3 linked regions of the Saccharomyces cerevisiae S288C genome follow. The main gene of each other region encodes a partner of the protein of the gene in region 3 in a complex. Each region holds a gene or a part of one and is shown on either strand. Other genes may lie near its edges.

Region 1 (4,164 bases), on a different chromosome or scaffold from region 3:
GTTATTATTCTCCGAAAATAATAAGTGAAGGATTGTAACATTACCGCAAGTATTAGTATTGTAAGTGGAAGTACTATCGGTTTCTTGTTTCAATGAATAGCACCAGAAACGCAAAAAATCTACAATTAGTTTATGGTCGAAATGAGCTACTGCGCACGTATAGCGCATTGTTTCCTATTCTACTAAAGTCCGCAATACATAATTCTATCGAGTACTCAAAAACATTATGCTTTTGATGGCTTGTTAGATATCCTTATGACCACTAACCTGAAATTGAGCAAATTCATTGGAAAGTCGGCGGCAAAAATAAATGTTTCGTCTTTGGTGATTTATTGGTCATTACATACGGTACATTTTTGATTTTTTTTTTTGCCACCGGTCGGAGCGGAGGAGGTGAAAAAGAAAAAGTATAAAAGGGCAAGTGTTTCGTCCTTCCTCCATGTTCCATTCCTCGTTAGCATGACTCCCCGCTCCTTCCCTTTACGAGTTTCATGCTTTTAACATATCAAAAGTCAGTACTCGGCAACCTTATTGTATCGTTTTCGTATCGTATCGCATCGTATTATCGTATTGTACACAACTAACTCACCAATCAAGGCTCTTCTTACAATTAGTTACGTTACCGTATCCATTGCTACAACCTATAATTTCAAGCAAAAGAAAAATATACTATTGTCTATTTTTTTGTATTGTAGTTTTCTCTGATTACACATTTTTTCTAGTACTTTTCTCCAAGCACGAGTTACAGGAAAGGAACCGGAAAGCAACAAACATACTAAACATCCCATAATGCAGCAGGACGACGATTTTCAAAATTTTGTAGCTACCTTGGAATCATTCAAAGATTTGAAATCTGGTATTTCAGGTTCTCGTATTAAGAAACTAACCACTTACGCACTTGATCACATTGATATTGAATCGAAAATCATATCTTTGATAATAGACTACTCAAGACTTTGTCCCGATTCTCATAAATTAGGTTCTTTATATATCATCGATTCAATAGGTAGAGCTTACTTGGATGAAACAAGATCAAATTCAAACAGCAGCAGCAACAAACCCGGTACTTGTGCCCATGCCATAAACACGTTGGGCGAAGTAATTCAAGAACTGCTATCCGATGCTATTGCAAAAAGTAATCAAGACCACAAGGAAAAAATTCGTATGCTTTTAGACATTTGGGACAGGTCCGGCTTGTTTCAAAAGAGTTACTTGAACGCCATCAGGTCAAAATGCTTTGCTATGGACATATCGAATAACACCGCGAACACCGCTTCACAACAACTATCACTGGATCCCAAGCAGAGGTCGAAACAAATCTTGTCAAATCTAAAGAAAAGTCCTCCTTTAAACTTGAACATAAGTCTTCCAACTGATTTGACTTCCACAGATCCAGCCAAACAGCAAGCAGCTCTTTTCCAAGTAATAGCGGCTCTGCAGAAACATTTTAAAACTTTGCCTTCACATACATCCGTGGGTACAGTCGCACCTCCCCAAGCCCATACAATTACCGAATATGGTAGCAGACGTGAACGTGAACGTGAAAGAGAAAGATATAACTCAAGAAGGAATAGATCAAGATCTCCTCCGGCACCATTTTCTCAGCCATCGACAGGCAGGAAGGACCGCTATCCATCTGTGGCCCAGGACCAATACAGCATAGGCGCCCCCAATACGACATTTGGCACAAACAATCACCACTTATACCCCGATGAGCTTAATGTTTCCAATAATCCTCATTATAGACCAAAACCAGTAAGTTACGACTCTACATTGCCACCAGATCATATTAAAGTCTACAGCCGTACTCTTTTCATCGGTGGGGTACCACTAAACATGAAGGAATGGGACCTTGCTAACGTTTTAAAACCTTTTGCTGAAGTACAAAGCGTCATTCTGAATAACTCCAGAAAACACGCTTTTGTGAAAGTTTATTCAAGACATGAGGCCGAAAATGTTTTGCAAAACTTCAATAAAGATGGAGCCCTGCCATTGAGAACTAGGTGGGGAGTTGGTTTTGGTCCAAGAGATTGTTGTGACTATCAACACGGTTACAGTATTATTCCTATGCACAGGCTCACGGACGCTGATAAAAAATGGTCAGTAAGTGCGCAATGGGGTGGCACTTCTGGTCAACCTCTCGTTACCGGTATTGTTTTCGAAGAACCGGATATTATCGTTGGTGAAGGTGTTTCTTCCAAGGCAATATCTCAAAAGATGCCTACTGATTCTGGCAGAAATGGGCCACGTTCTGGTAAACCTAACAAATCTGGTAGCATATCGTCGATATCTCCAGTACCCTACGGCAATGCACCATTGGCATCTCCTCCACCACAGCAATATGTGCAACCTATGATGCAGCAACCGTATGGTTATGCCCCCAACCAACCATTACCTTCTCAGGGACCTGCCGCAGCGGCTCCCCCTGTACCTCAGCAACAATTTGACCCCACTGCTCAATTGAATTCTTTGATGAATATGCTTAACCAACAGCAGCAGCAACAACAACAAAGCTAAGATCTTTACTCCACCCTTTATTTGCTCATAGTACATAAAACTAATCTACCTCTATATATAATTTCTGTTTTTTCCTATGTTCCTTTTTTTTTTTTGTTAAATGGACATCCTTATGTATTCACATAACTACTGTGTTTCAAATGTAGCATTATCCTATTCTTTATTCTCTTTTTTTACCGTATTCCTGGTTTTTTTTCAAGGTTTAGATGAAAATGAAAATGAAAAAAAAAAAAGGAAAGAAAACAGTTAAACAATCAATAAACTTTATATTCTACGTAATCATAAGCGCTTATCCAGTACCATGAAGGTAAATTTAATGTTGAAAAGAGGGCTTGCTACTGCAACTGCAACTGCCAGTTCCGCTCCCCCCAAGATTAAAGTCGGAGTACTACTGTCAAGAATCCCTATAATTAAATCAGAATTAAATGAACTAGAGAAAAAATACTATGAGTACCAATCAGAACTAGAAAAGAGACTAATGTGGACGTTTCCGGCATATTTTTATTTCAAAAAGGGTACTGTAGCAGAACACAAATTTCTATCCCTGCAGAAAGGACCTATCTCCAAAAAAAATGGCATTTGGTTTCCTAGAGGCATACCGGACATTAAACATGGCAGAGAAAGAAGTACTAAGCAAGAAGTTAAACTTTCTGATGACAGTACAGTAGCATTTAGCAACAATCAAAAAGAGCAAAGCAAAGACGATGTTAATAGGCCCGTGATTCCCAACGACAGGATAACGGAAGCAGATAGGTCAAATGATATGAAGAGCCTTGAAAGACAATTGAGCAGGACCTTATATCTTTTGGTTAAGGATAAAAGCGGTACTTGGAAATTCCCTAACTTCGATCTTTCTGATGAATCTAAGCCGTTACACGTACACGCAGAGAACGAATTGAAATTGTTGAGCGGTGATCAGATATACACTTGGTCTGTTTCTGCTACGCCCATAGGTGTTTTGCAGGACGAGAGAAATAGGACTGCTGAGTTTATTGTGAAGTCACACATTTTGGCTGGAAAATTTGATTTGGTGGCGTCGAAAAATGATGCATTCGAGGATTTTGCTTGGCTGACAAAAGGTGAGATCAGTGAATATGTACCAAAAGATTACTTTAACAAAACAGAATTTCTTTTAGCGGATAATTGAAATCACAAAAACAGATGCGTTTTTAACGTTACATATACAAAATATATGCGTGCATATATATTTATATATTAGGTTGTCGTCAATCACATGTAAATATCATTAAATGAAAGAAAAAGAATGTGCATTTTCTACCGCATTCCTTCCATCAGGTAACTTATTTTTTTGAGTTGAATCTACTCGGCCTATCCTTGCCAATCCTATCAGTATTCTTACTCGTCCTTTTATTGTGGTTGTTGCCTCCACCGTTGTTTTTCCTACGTTTTTCAATCATCGTGTTATCGAACATGTCTTTCCAATAAGTTATTAGATTTTTTTCGTTTTTAACAAAATGATTTGATAGTGTGTCATTCTTGCCTGACATGATATACCATGATTTATCAGGATAAAACTTCAAAACGGGATCGGTTTTGTAATTGGCTAAAGATTTAGAGTGGAGTAAATTACCACTATTAAGATCATAGAAATATACCATTTCATCTTCTGTACAAATTCCTAGTATT
Region 2 (4,016 bases), 260 kb from region 3:
TGGTTTCCCCTTGTTGTACAGACAAAAGTTGCGAAGAACTGTCTTTTTTAATGGGATAATTAAAGTCATAAGCAGCGACTACTATTCCAATTGGACGAATGCTGGTCAACTCACTTGTCGAGGGGGAAGAAGAAAGAGAAGCTGAGGATGATTCTGTGTTAGTGGTAGTGGAAGTGTTAGATGAAGAGCTGATCGATGGAGTTTGTGAAGCATTGCCTGCCTCCCTTGCAGAACTTGTATTGGGAATAGACGTGTTAGTATCGGACATGATACAACTATCCAATATCCACCTTGCTTTTTCGTTTTATTTTTTAGTATTTATTCGAAGAAAAATGTGGCTCTTTTTATTCAATTTCTTTCCGAAAAAGAAACAGTCTATCTAACTAAAGGAATTGCTTCACGGTGATCAAGTCACTATAACTGTCTCCGCCGTGTTGGTGATGCAGTTTTCTCTGTAACTTTTGAGCTTATTTTTCTATTTTATTTTTTCCTCCAGGTCTCTGTCAAAGATCCGTCTCCCGCGATGTTTAAAAGTCGTTTTAGCGAATTACATAATAACCTGGAGGTGACTGACGTCGACTATTTTCTGCCCCATAAAGCAACAAAATATTTAACTCATAAAAGCTTCGAAGAATATGTAAATATAGTAGTATGAATCTAACTGAGTAAAAAAAGGGAATAACAAAACAAAAAAAAAGGAAAAGAGATGGATAGCATACGTTATGAAAGTAATAAAACCTTAGAGATAGAGATAGAGAGAGAGAGAGAGAGAGATGCACCTTTTCTATTCTCAATAAAAAAAGGAAAGTAAGTGTAAAAAAATTTAAAGGAGGGATATATGACACTCCTACTAAGCAGTCGTTTTTTTTTTCTTTTGTTAATTTCATTCTTCATGCTGGGTTTTGGATGATCTAGTGTTTGCACTTAAAATAATTTTTTTTCCTGCATTCTGACATCGCTTTATACATCCTCGAATGCTGTAATTTCAATCCGAACCGTTTCAGCTGCTTTACAAACCAGTTGGTATCTTTGCGAACCTTAAACTGAAAAACTCGGAATGGTTTCATTGACTTGAAACGAAGCTTGCGCAACTGCAATCTGGATCCCGACCAACATTGTTTTGCTTTTTGGCAAGAATGATCGAAATACCTTTTAATATGTGGAGAAAATTGCCTGTATTTATTATGAAGTAGCACAAAGAGCCTTTTCCAGCGGCGTTTCTGTTCTTTATGCAATACCCTTAAACTTTCTTGAGCGGATTTAAAAGAATTCTTGAGAAATAGGTGTAACTTTATTCTTCCTCCGTTTATTTTGTTAATTCTCTTGTGCCAACCGTCTTTCATTCGAGCTTTTGTTGTATACCATAAAATAACTAAGTCTGTTTTGTATCGTCTCCAGCCCATTAGGTCATCATCCTTTAATGGGTATGCAATATGATTGTCGAAGTCGACGTAGTATTTTCCTGAAGGAGCCCACTGACTTAAAGAGTCACTTGATGAATCGTAAGATTTTTTATCAACAAAATCGATATTGCCGTACAACAGCTTCCTTTCATTATTACGTAATGACTGTTGTGATTTAAAACCTGCCAACACATCACCAGTCAGGGAATATTCGAGGGCGAGGTATGAAAAGGTCATGGAAAGCAATGAAGATAGCATGATAACATGCCACATCTTCAATTTAGCAGATTTACCCTCACTTTTATCTATGATATGATCCGATAGTGTGCTAGAATTCCTTATCGTACTATCCTTCAGTTTCGACCCCTCCATACTTGGCAATACCGTTCCGCCAACATTTGAGCCGGACAAAGTATCAAATGACTCTGAAATAGTGGGAACTCCAGTTTGATCAATATTAACTCCAGCATTACTAAATTCATTAGATGTTCTAAAATCGTAAATACGATTCATCTGTGCAGACTCTTCACTGCTAGTGTTCGATAGGACATCTGCATCGAAGTCCTCGTCGTCCTCTCCTGCAAAGGAGCTTTCATGCAAACTATCCAAAGATATTTCTGACTTCGATGACTGTTCTTCCCCTTCTCTCCCTTTACGTAATCTACGTAATCTAACTAAATTCCAATGATCGTCTTCTTCTGACATTTTAGGTCCGACAACTCGACTGTTTTACTAGTCTCTATTATCGTCACTGCGTATTACTCTGCTACTGTGCTTGTTACTTTATACCGGAACAGTAGCTCCTAAACGATTATTCCAAATGAAGAAAAACGTTTGGCCAGTAACCTGCATAAAACTGAATAACTATAATGATACTCCGACTAATAATATATCCCAATGCCCCATCTCATCTGTGTAGATCAATTTTTATGGCTCGATCCAGGTACCTTGATAAGCAGCTGTCGCGCAAAGGGGTTACCGCAAAATGGATAGATGGACCGGGGGCACACCGGGGTAGGGGGTCCGGAGGGTTAACTGTCAACTCCACCCATACAAGACCGCGCAGAAATCGTCGCAGGACCCCGCCGAACGGCGAAAGCAAATATGCAGCCGTAAAGACCTAACAATAAACCTAATGTAGTCATAGGGCTAATTGATTTTAAATATATGACCTAGCTGACTATTCAAGTTTGCCCTAATTGATGAGTTTTTGAAAAAAAAAACAACTTAGGTTTCGCTATCCAAGCTTATGCTATGGGAAGCGTTGGAAAACTTGCATATAGTATGAACAAGAGCGAGATATAAAACTATAACGGTAGATGGAAAGTAAAGAGTAGACAAGCTCGGAAACATGGAAAATAGCATGATGTTTATATCGCGTTCCTTGCGGAGACCCGTTACTGCTTTGAACTGCAATTTACAAAGCGTTAGAACAGTCATATACCTTCATAAGGGTCCGAGAATTAATGGTTTGAGACGAGATCCAGAGTCGTACTTGAGAAATCCTAGCGGGGTACTCTTTACTGAAGTTAACGCAAAAGAGTGTCAAGACAAAGTTAGATCCATACTACAATTGCCCAAGTACGGAATAAATTTATCAAACGAACTGATTTTGCAGTGTTTAACACATAAGTCGTTCGCACACGGGTCAAAGCCATACAACGAAAAACTGAATCTGCTAGGAGCACAGTTTTTGAAACTACAGACGTGCATTCATTCGTTAAAGAATGGTTCGCCGGCCGAGAGTTGCGAGAACGGGCAACTTTCTTTGCAGTTCAGCAATCTGGGAACAAAATTCGCTAAGGAATTAACGTCCAAAAACACAGCATGCACATTCGTTAAATTACATAATCTAGACCCTTTCATATTTTGGAAGATGAGAGACCCAATAAAAGATGGCCACATAAATGGTGAAACCACGATTTTTGCTAGTGTCTTGAACGCATTTATTGGTGCAATTCTGTCAACGAATGGATCTGAAAAAGCAGCTAAATTTATCCAAGGAAGTTTGCTGGATAAAGAAGATCTTCATTCCTTGGTTAACATTGCTAATGAAAATGTAGCATCTGCAAAGGCAAAAATATCCGACAAGGAAAATAAAGCATTTCTGTGAAGATACAAAAAATATAGTTGATGGTTCACTGGCCAAAAATGTATAAAAGAAAAATTTATCTGTAAATAGTGATCGAAATAAAATAAGATAATAACTAAAGAATATATATGACTTTACTGTACAGATCTATAATTGAAAAATGACGAGAGGTCCTGTGAAAGAGTCTGCCTGTTCGCCATCTTCACACATTCAACCAATTCCCTGGTGCGCTTGGTTACTTCCATCAGGATATCTGCTAATTTTTGATAGAATCGTTTCTTCCCAAGCTTTGTGGAATCGCATCCATAAGTACACAATTCCGATAACTTTTGCGAGCAATCTGTGAGCCTTTCAATAATTTCTTTACAGTGCTCGCCTAAATCCAGTTTAAAACTTTTTTGGACCATTGCTTTGGTAGTCATATCAATCACCGATTCCAAAATAGGAATAATCTCGATGGAATTTTGACATAATCTCGAAACTGATCTTGCGGACTTGAACAATTTTGATTTAGAGGCTTG
Region 3 (5,154 bases):
ATTTAGATTTTGGCACAGCATACGAATTGGGCAAGCAAGTGTTTGAAATTTGTCAAGAAGCGGGCCAACATATGATGAAGGCGTTGGGCGATGAGCATTGGTTAACATTTTATCAAATGGGGAAGTTTGTCGATCCAAATTGGGTGGATAATGAAATTCCCACAGAGATAATTGTTCTGCAGATGAGCATCTTGGGCCGCTTACTGGAGGTTTGCCCCCTTGAGGAAGTCGAAATTGTTACATCGCAATGGAGCACACTAGAATTGGAGCTAAGCGCCCGTGACCTGGTGAAAGACAAGTACGCACTGGACGGACAGAACGACAATAAGAGTAAGGTAGGCGGCATTGCTAGGGAGATTTTCCACAACGTGACTAATTTCTGAATACATACAGCGTATAGCTATATAAAGGTGTATGTATGTGTGTATGTATGTGCGAGTGTGTGTGGATATATATATATATATATATTTACAGGAGAGAGGGTAGGAAGCCCACGGGAATCATGCAGTTGCTTGCTCCACGGAGCTTGCATGAATTAGCTGTTTCAAGTATTTTCTCACGGTGGGGAGTTCGTCTAATTTAGGGACTTTATTATCTGGGGACTTTCTCAGGTCTTTGATGGCGACACAAGCCTCTTGAACGGCATGAGGTTCGAAGTCGGAAGTGAATAAGATGAACGACTCGCCCACGTCTGTGATCGGTTCTTGTGATATTTCGGATATGAGGTCATTGGAGTCCTTGAACCGCTGTAGTTTTAAGTTTGCCAAGAACTTGATCCCGTCGATGAAGTTAATGTCGACTGTATTATCCTGGATGGTTTCCGATATGCCGAAAATGGCCAACTGGAATCGTGTGAGCATGGAGGCGACTTCGTCATCAGGGATATCCTTGTTCAAGAAGTAATCGTTGGCCAAAGTATCCAAGAACTTTTTCCTCTCCGATTCATCCTGTAAAAATTCGCGTGAAGCGCTATAGGCCAGCTCTCTTTCGTTAAGTACATGTCTTATTTGCCACATGGTGGTTCTGATAGAGTTAGAGAGCTCACTGAATTCGTCATGCGTGGAGCCAACAATGTTTTTCAAGAGATGGTTTTCGCGAGCAAGCACATTTTGCTCCCTGAGGCAGTTGTACCAAAGGGAATGCAAGTCGTTAAAGGACTTGTGCCTCAACTCTGGGATGCTCCAGGGTCTGATATGGCTGGAAGGCGGCAAGTCGTCGGCGGACCTGATGAATTTCTTGTTGGAGAAGAACTGCCACAGCGGGTGGTCGTCGGGACAGCGCAGGTTTGAGGTTGTTGGTGGGATTGGTTCGGTAATCCTCAGGTTGTTGGAGTGATGAGTCAATTGAGTGGGCGGTCTTATTTTGTCTTTGGGAAGCACCGGTTGTTTTGGCTTTGGTTTGGTAAACTTTGTTCTGGCACGCAGGGGCCCTCCTTGGGAGTGGAACGATCTCTTCCACATTTTTATTATATTTTTATGGTATTTTTTTCTAGCCGCAGAGATAGAATGGTACTCTCTTACCAGGGCTCGATAGCTTTCAGGGCAATTCTTTTAGTTTGCTGAAATGATATTTTTTCTTCTTCCTGATGCGCCCTTTTGGCTATCCGTGCTGTGTGATAGGTCGCGATATTGAAAGAAGAAAAAAAGCAAGAAAGCTGAGGTTTGAACAAACAAGAGGCAGGATGTTTCCATCCATTCTAGCAACCAATACAACAGGGGAGAGACACGCAGATAAATACACACACACACACAACATCACGCACACTCAAGAAAATGGAGACACCTTTGGATTTATTGAAACTCAATCTCGATGAGAGGGTGTACATCAAGCTGCGCGGGGCCAGGACGCTGGTGGGCACACTGCAAGCGTTCGACTCACACTGCAACATCGTGCTGAGTGATGCAGTAGAGACCATATACCAATTAAACAACGAGGAGTTGAGTGAGTCCGAAAGACGATGTGAAATGGTGTTCATCAGAGGAGACACAGTGACTCTAATCAGCACGCCCTCTGAAGATGACGATGGCGCAGTGGAGATATAAGCAAAGAGGAGGAGAAAACAAAGGGAAACAGTACGTATTTTTTTATTTTACTTTTAGTATATTAAAAATGTGTAAGATATAAAACAAAAAAAAGAAAAGAAACGAGAAAACATAAAAAAAATGCGTATTAATATTATAACAGATCGATACACTTGGCAATGGTTTCGACACCGGTTTGCAAGTCCTCTTCGGAGATGACCAAAGGAGGAGCCAATCTGATGATGTGGTCGTGGGTGGGCTTAGCCAAGAGGCCGTGATCCTTCATCAATAGACACAAGTCCCAAGCGGTCTTACCATTGGCCTTGGATGGGTCGATTACGATGGCGGTAAGCAGTCCCATACCACGCACCTCAGAGATTATACCGTTAGATTTGGCTTGGAGAGCTTTCAATTGGGCGATGAAAGAGCTACCCAGTTGGGCGGCTCTTTGGCACAGCTTCTCGTCGCGGATGACCTCGAGGGCGGCGATGGCAACGCGGGAAGCCAAAGGATTACCGCCGAAAGTAGAACCGTGAGATCCTGGGGTAAAGCAAGACATGATGTCGTGAGAAGACAGAACACATGAGACGGGAAGAACACCACCTGAGAGAGCCTTACCTAACAAAACAATATCAGGCTTGGCCTCTGCCTTGTAGTGGTCGTAGCAAAGCAACTCACCGGTTCTACCGATACCGGTTTGAATTTCGTCAACGATCAATAGGACGTTGTGCTTACGGCATAATGCGGAGACCTTTGGGAAGTAGTCTGCGGGGGGCACGACGATACCGGCTTCACCCTGAATTGGCTCTAGAATGATGGCGGCAACGTTCTTACCTTCAGGAGATTCCAAGATAGGGACGAAATCTTCTGCGTGGCCGTATCTGATCTTGTGCACGGAGTGACCACTGGCAACGTTAGGCACGAAAGGCCCGAAATGCAACTTGGAGTCCTCGTAGTCGGTACTCAAACTGATAGCACCGAAGGTTCTCCCGTGGAAGTTACCCTCGGCACCCAGAATGATGGCTTTATCTTGAGGGATGTTCTTCTTCATGTACCCCCATCTTCTGGCCAACTTCAAAGCAGTTTCCACGGCTTCTGCACCGGTGTTCATGGGCAAAACGGTTTCGAACCCGAAGAATTCGGTCACGAACTTGGCGAATTGCGCGTAAACATCGTTGTGGAACGCTCTGGAGGACAATGTTAGTGTTTGTGCTTGCTCCGTCAAAGCCTTGATGATGTGAGGATGGCAATGGCCCTGGTTGACGGCAGAATAAGCGCTCAGGAAGTCGAGGTACAGCTTACCCTCCGGGTCCCACACATGTGCGCCCTTAGCCTTGTGAAAAACGACGGGCAAGGGGTGGTAGTTGTGGGCGGAGTATTTGTTTTCCCATTCAATGGTTTGCTTGGAGGAGAGGGTAGCTTCGGACATTGGTGTTGTGGTTCTGTGCTGCTGTGGTGTCTTGTGGTGTAGTATCCTTTGCTGTAATACGAACAACCGCCATATAACAACAAGACTCAACGTATGGTGGCCGCAATTTATATATGCAATCGAGTCAGCCAGTCAGCCGCTAAGGGCAAGGGCACGCGACTACGGCGTCGGCTAGCGCCGCTAACGGCAGGGGACGCCAGGTCCTGCCGTTAACAGAGGGCAGAATTTGTCCGTGCGCACATTTGCGTGTGGTGCATGGGTTCTATTCCTCATTAGCGCGGCTCGTACCACGCGCTTTTTTCTTCTCGTTTGTTTGTGTGTGTGCTTTTTCTTTTTCCCGCCAGTGGGGTATTTATTTATCTAGTAGCAACAGGCAAGGATTGGAGAAGAAAACAAAGAAAAAGAAACAGCAAGAGAACCCAGATCAAGAAACGCACGCTTTACATCACACACTAATACAGGAACAAACAAGACTTAATGGACGCACAACTGGAATGGGCAAGCAGCCTCGTCCCAAAGAGACAGCTTCAACAACAACAACAACAACAGGAGCAGCAGCAGCAGCAGCAACAGGATTTCCACAAGGACCAGTTGATGACTGTGGGTATGCGAATCAGACAGCGGGTCGACCAGGGTTATGCATCGAGGACGCCGAGCACCTCGGACGCTTCACTACAGCCGGGTGTCATTAGAGATTACTCGAGCGTTATTGTTCCGCAATTTACAAGGTCGCCCTTGCCCACTGCTAACTCGCTACCACCTATGCTGATAAACCAGAGAACAATGTCGACCGAGGCGTCCTCGCTCGAGAAATGGGACGTCGCGGAACCTGCCGCGGAGCACGAAACAATGGTTAATGGATCCAAGAGAAGACTTTAACAGACTTGCACAATTTTTTTTATCTCTCTCTTTTTTTCTCTCTTTTTCCTACTTTACTTTCTCTTTTATAGATTCTTTATATAGTCTTTTCTCTTGTTCGCACATTTTTTATAGAGGATATAACAAATAATAAAAACTATCGCAGTTGCTTTGGCTTCAGGGGGTTTTTCCTTGCTTTTCCGCCGGTTTACGTGCTTAATTTCGGTGTTTTTTCTTTCGGGTAAACCTATGGAGAAAAAAAAAAAAAAAGACCTCTATTTATTGAGTACACAACATACACGTACAGGTAGATAAGCAAACAAATCAGAGAAAAAGCTAATAGAGAAAGAAATACACACAAATCAAACCATAAAAATTCTCCCTTAGGCTATGCATAATGGGAAATACTGACTCCAAATCCAGTTCGATCCTGCTGAACCACTGCATCGCTCTGGTTCGACCGGAGGACGCAGATGCGTCCTCCCCTTCACGTACGTCGTCGCCCTCGCCCTCCCTTTCAGTTGATGCTGATCCGTTGAGTTTAAACCTGTCAATTTTTAAGCTGGATTCTGGGCCTGACGTTGAAGCGTTGTTCAGCGACAAACCAAATGTCCCGCTAGATACCGTCTTCAACGATTTTTACTTGGACTTCATATCAGTGGACGTGCAGGACTTCAGCATTAACTCTAGTTTTAAAAAAATCCTGCACATTATCTCTAGTTTGAACCCACCCAACTTCAACAACTTGATTGTCTTCCTTTCGCTCTACATTATTCTTTCCGCGAACTCCTTGCCCGCTTCCCGTACGGGACTTCATTCTTCGCGGCTTATCAACGCCATAAAGAC

What was found. Proteins that work in one complex are often made in the same cells at the same time.
Region 1: MRPL4 (region 3) and MRPL17 share a complex: the UniProt entries of both Saccharomyces cerevisiae proteins name them as parts of the mitochondrial large ribosomal subunit.
Region 2: MRPL4 (region 3) and MRPL15 share a complex: the UniProt entries of both Saccharomyces cerevisiae proteins name them as parts of the mitochondrial large ribosomal subunit.

What each region holds. Positions count from the first base shown.
Region 1 is NC_001146.8:170,941-175,104, reverse strand, and holds MRPL17 (mitochondrial 54S ribosomal protein mL46 MRPL17), read left to right. Parts: upstream 1-2,818; coding exon 2,819-3,664; downstream 3,665-4,164. Other genes in the region: Nrd1 complex RNA-binding subunit, read left to right, coding at 790-2,517; TEX1 (Tex1p), read right to left, coding at 3,819-4,164. UniProt on the Saccharomyces cerevisiae protein: Component of the mitochondrial ribosome (mitoribosome), a dedicated translation machinery responsible for the synthesis of mitochondrial genome-encoded proteins, including at least some of the essential transmembrane subunits of the mitochondrial respiratory chain.
Region 2 is NC_001144.5:756,726-760,741, forward strand, and holds MRPL15 (mitochondrial 54S ribosomal protein mL57 MRPL15), read left to right. Parts: upstream 1-2,754; coding exon 2,755-3,516; downstream 3,517-4,016. Other genes in the region: Ras family guanine nucleotide exchange factor CDC25, read right to left, coding at 1-268; ATG39 (Atg39p), read right to left, coding at 912-2,108. UniProt on the Saccharomyces cerevisiae protein: Component of the mitochondrial ribosome (mitoribosome), a dedicated translation machinery responsible for the synthesis of mitochondrial genome-encoded proteins, including at least some of the essential transmembrane subunits of the mitochondrial respiratory chain.
Region 3 is NC_001144.5:1,010,797-1,015,950, reverse strand, and holds MRPL4 (mitochondrial 54S ribosomal protein uL29m MRPL4), read right to left. Parts: upstream 1,461-5,154; coding exon 501-1,460; downstream 1-500. Other genes in the region: SEC39 (Sec39p), read left to right, coding at 1-383; U4/U6-U5 snRNP complex subunit LSM3, read left to right, coding at 1,773-2,042; CAR2 (ornithine-oxo-acid transaminase), read right to left, coding at 2,176-3,450; DIF1 (Dif1p), read left to right, coding at 3,928-4,329; ECM30 (Ecm30p), read left to right, coding at 4,706-5,154. UniProt on the Saccharomyces cerevisiae protein: Component of the mitochondrial ribosome (mitoribosome), a dedicated translation machinery responsible for the synthesis of mitochondrial genome-encoded proteins, including at least some of the essential transmembrane subunits of the mitochondrial respiratory chain.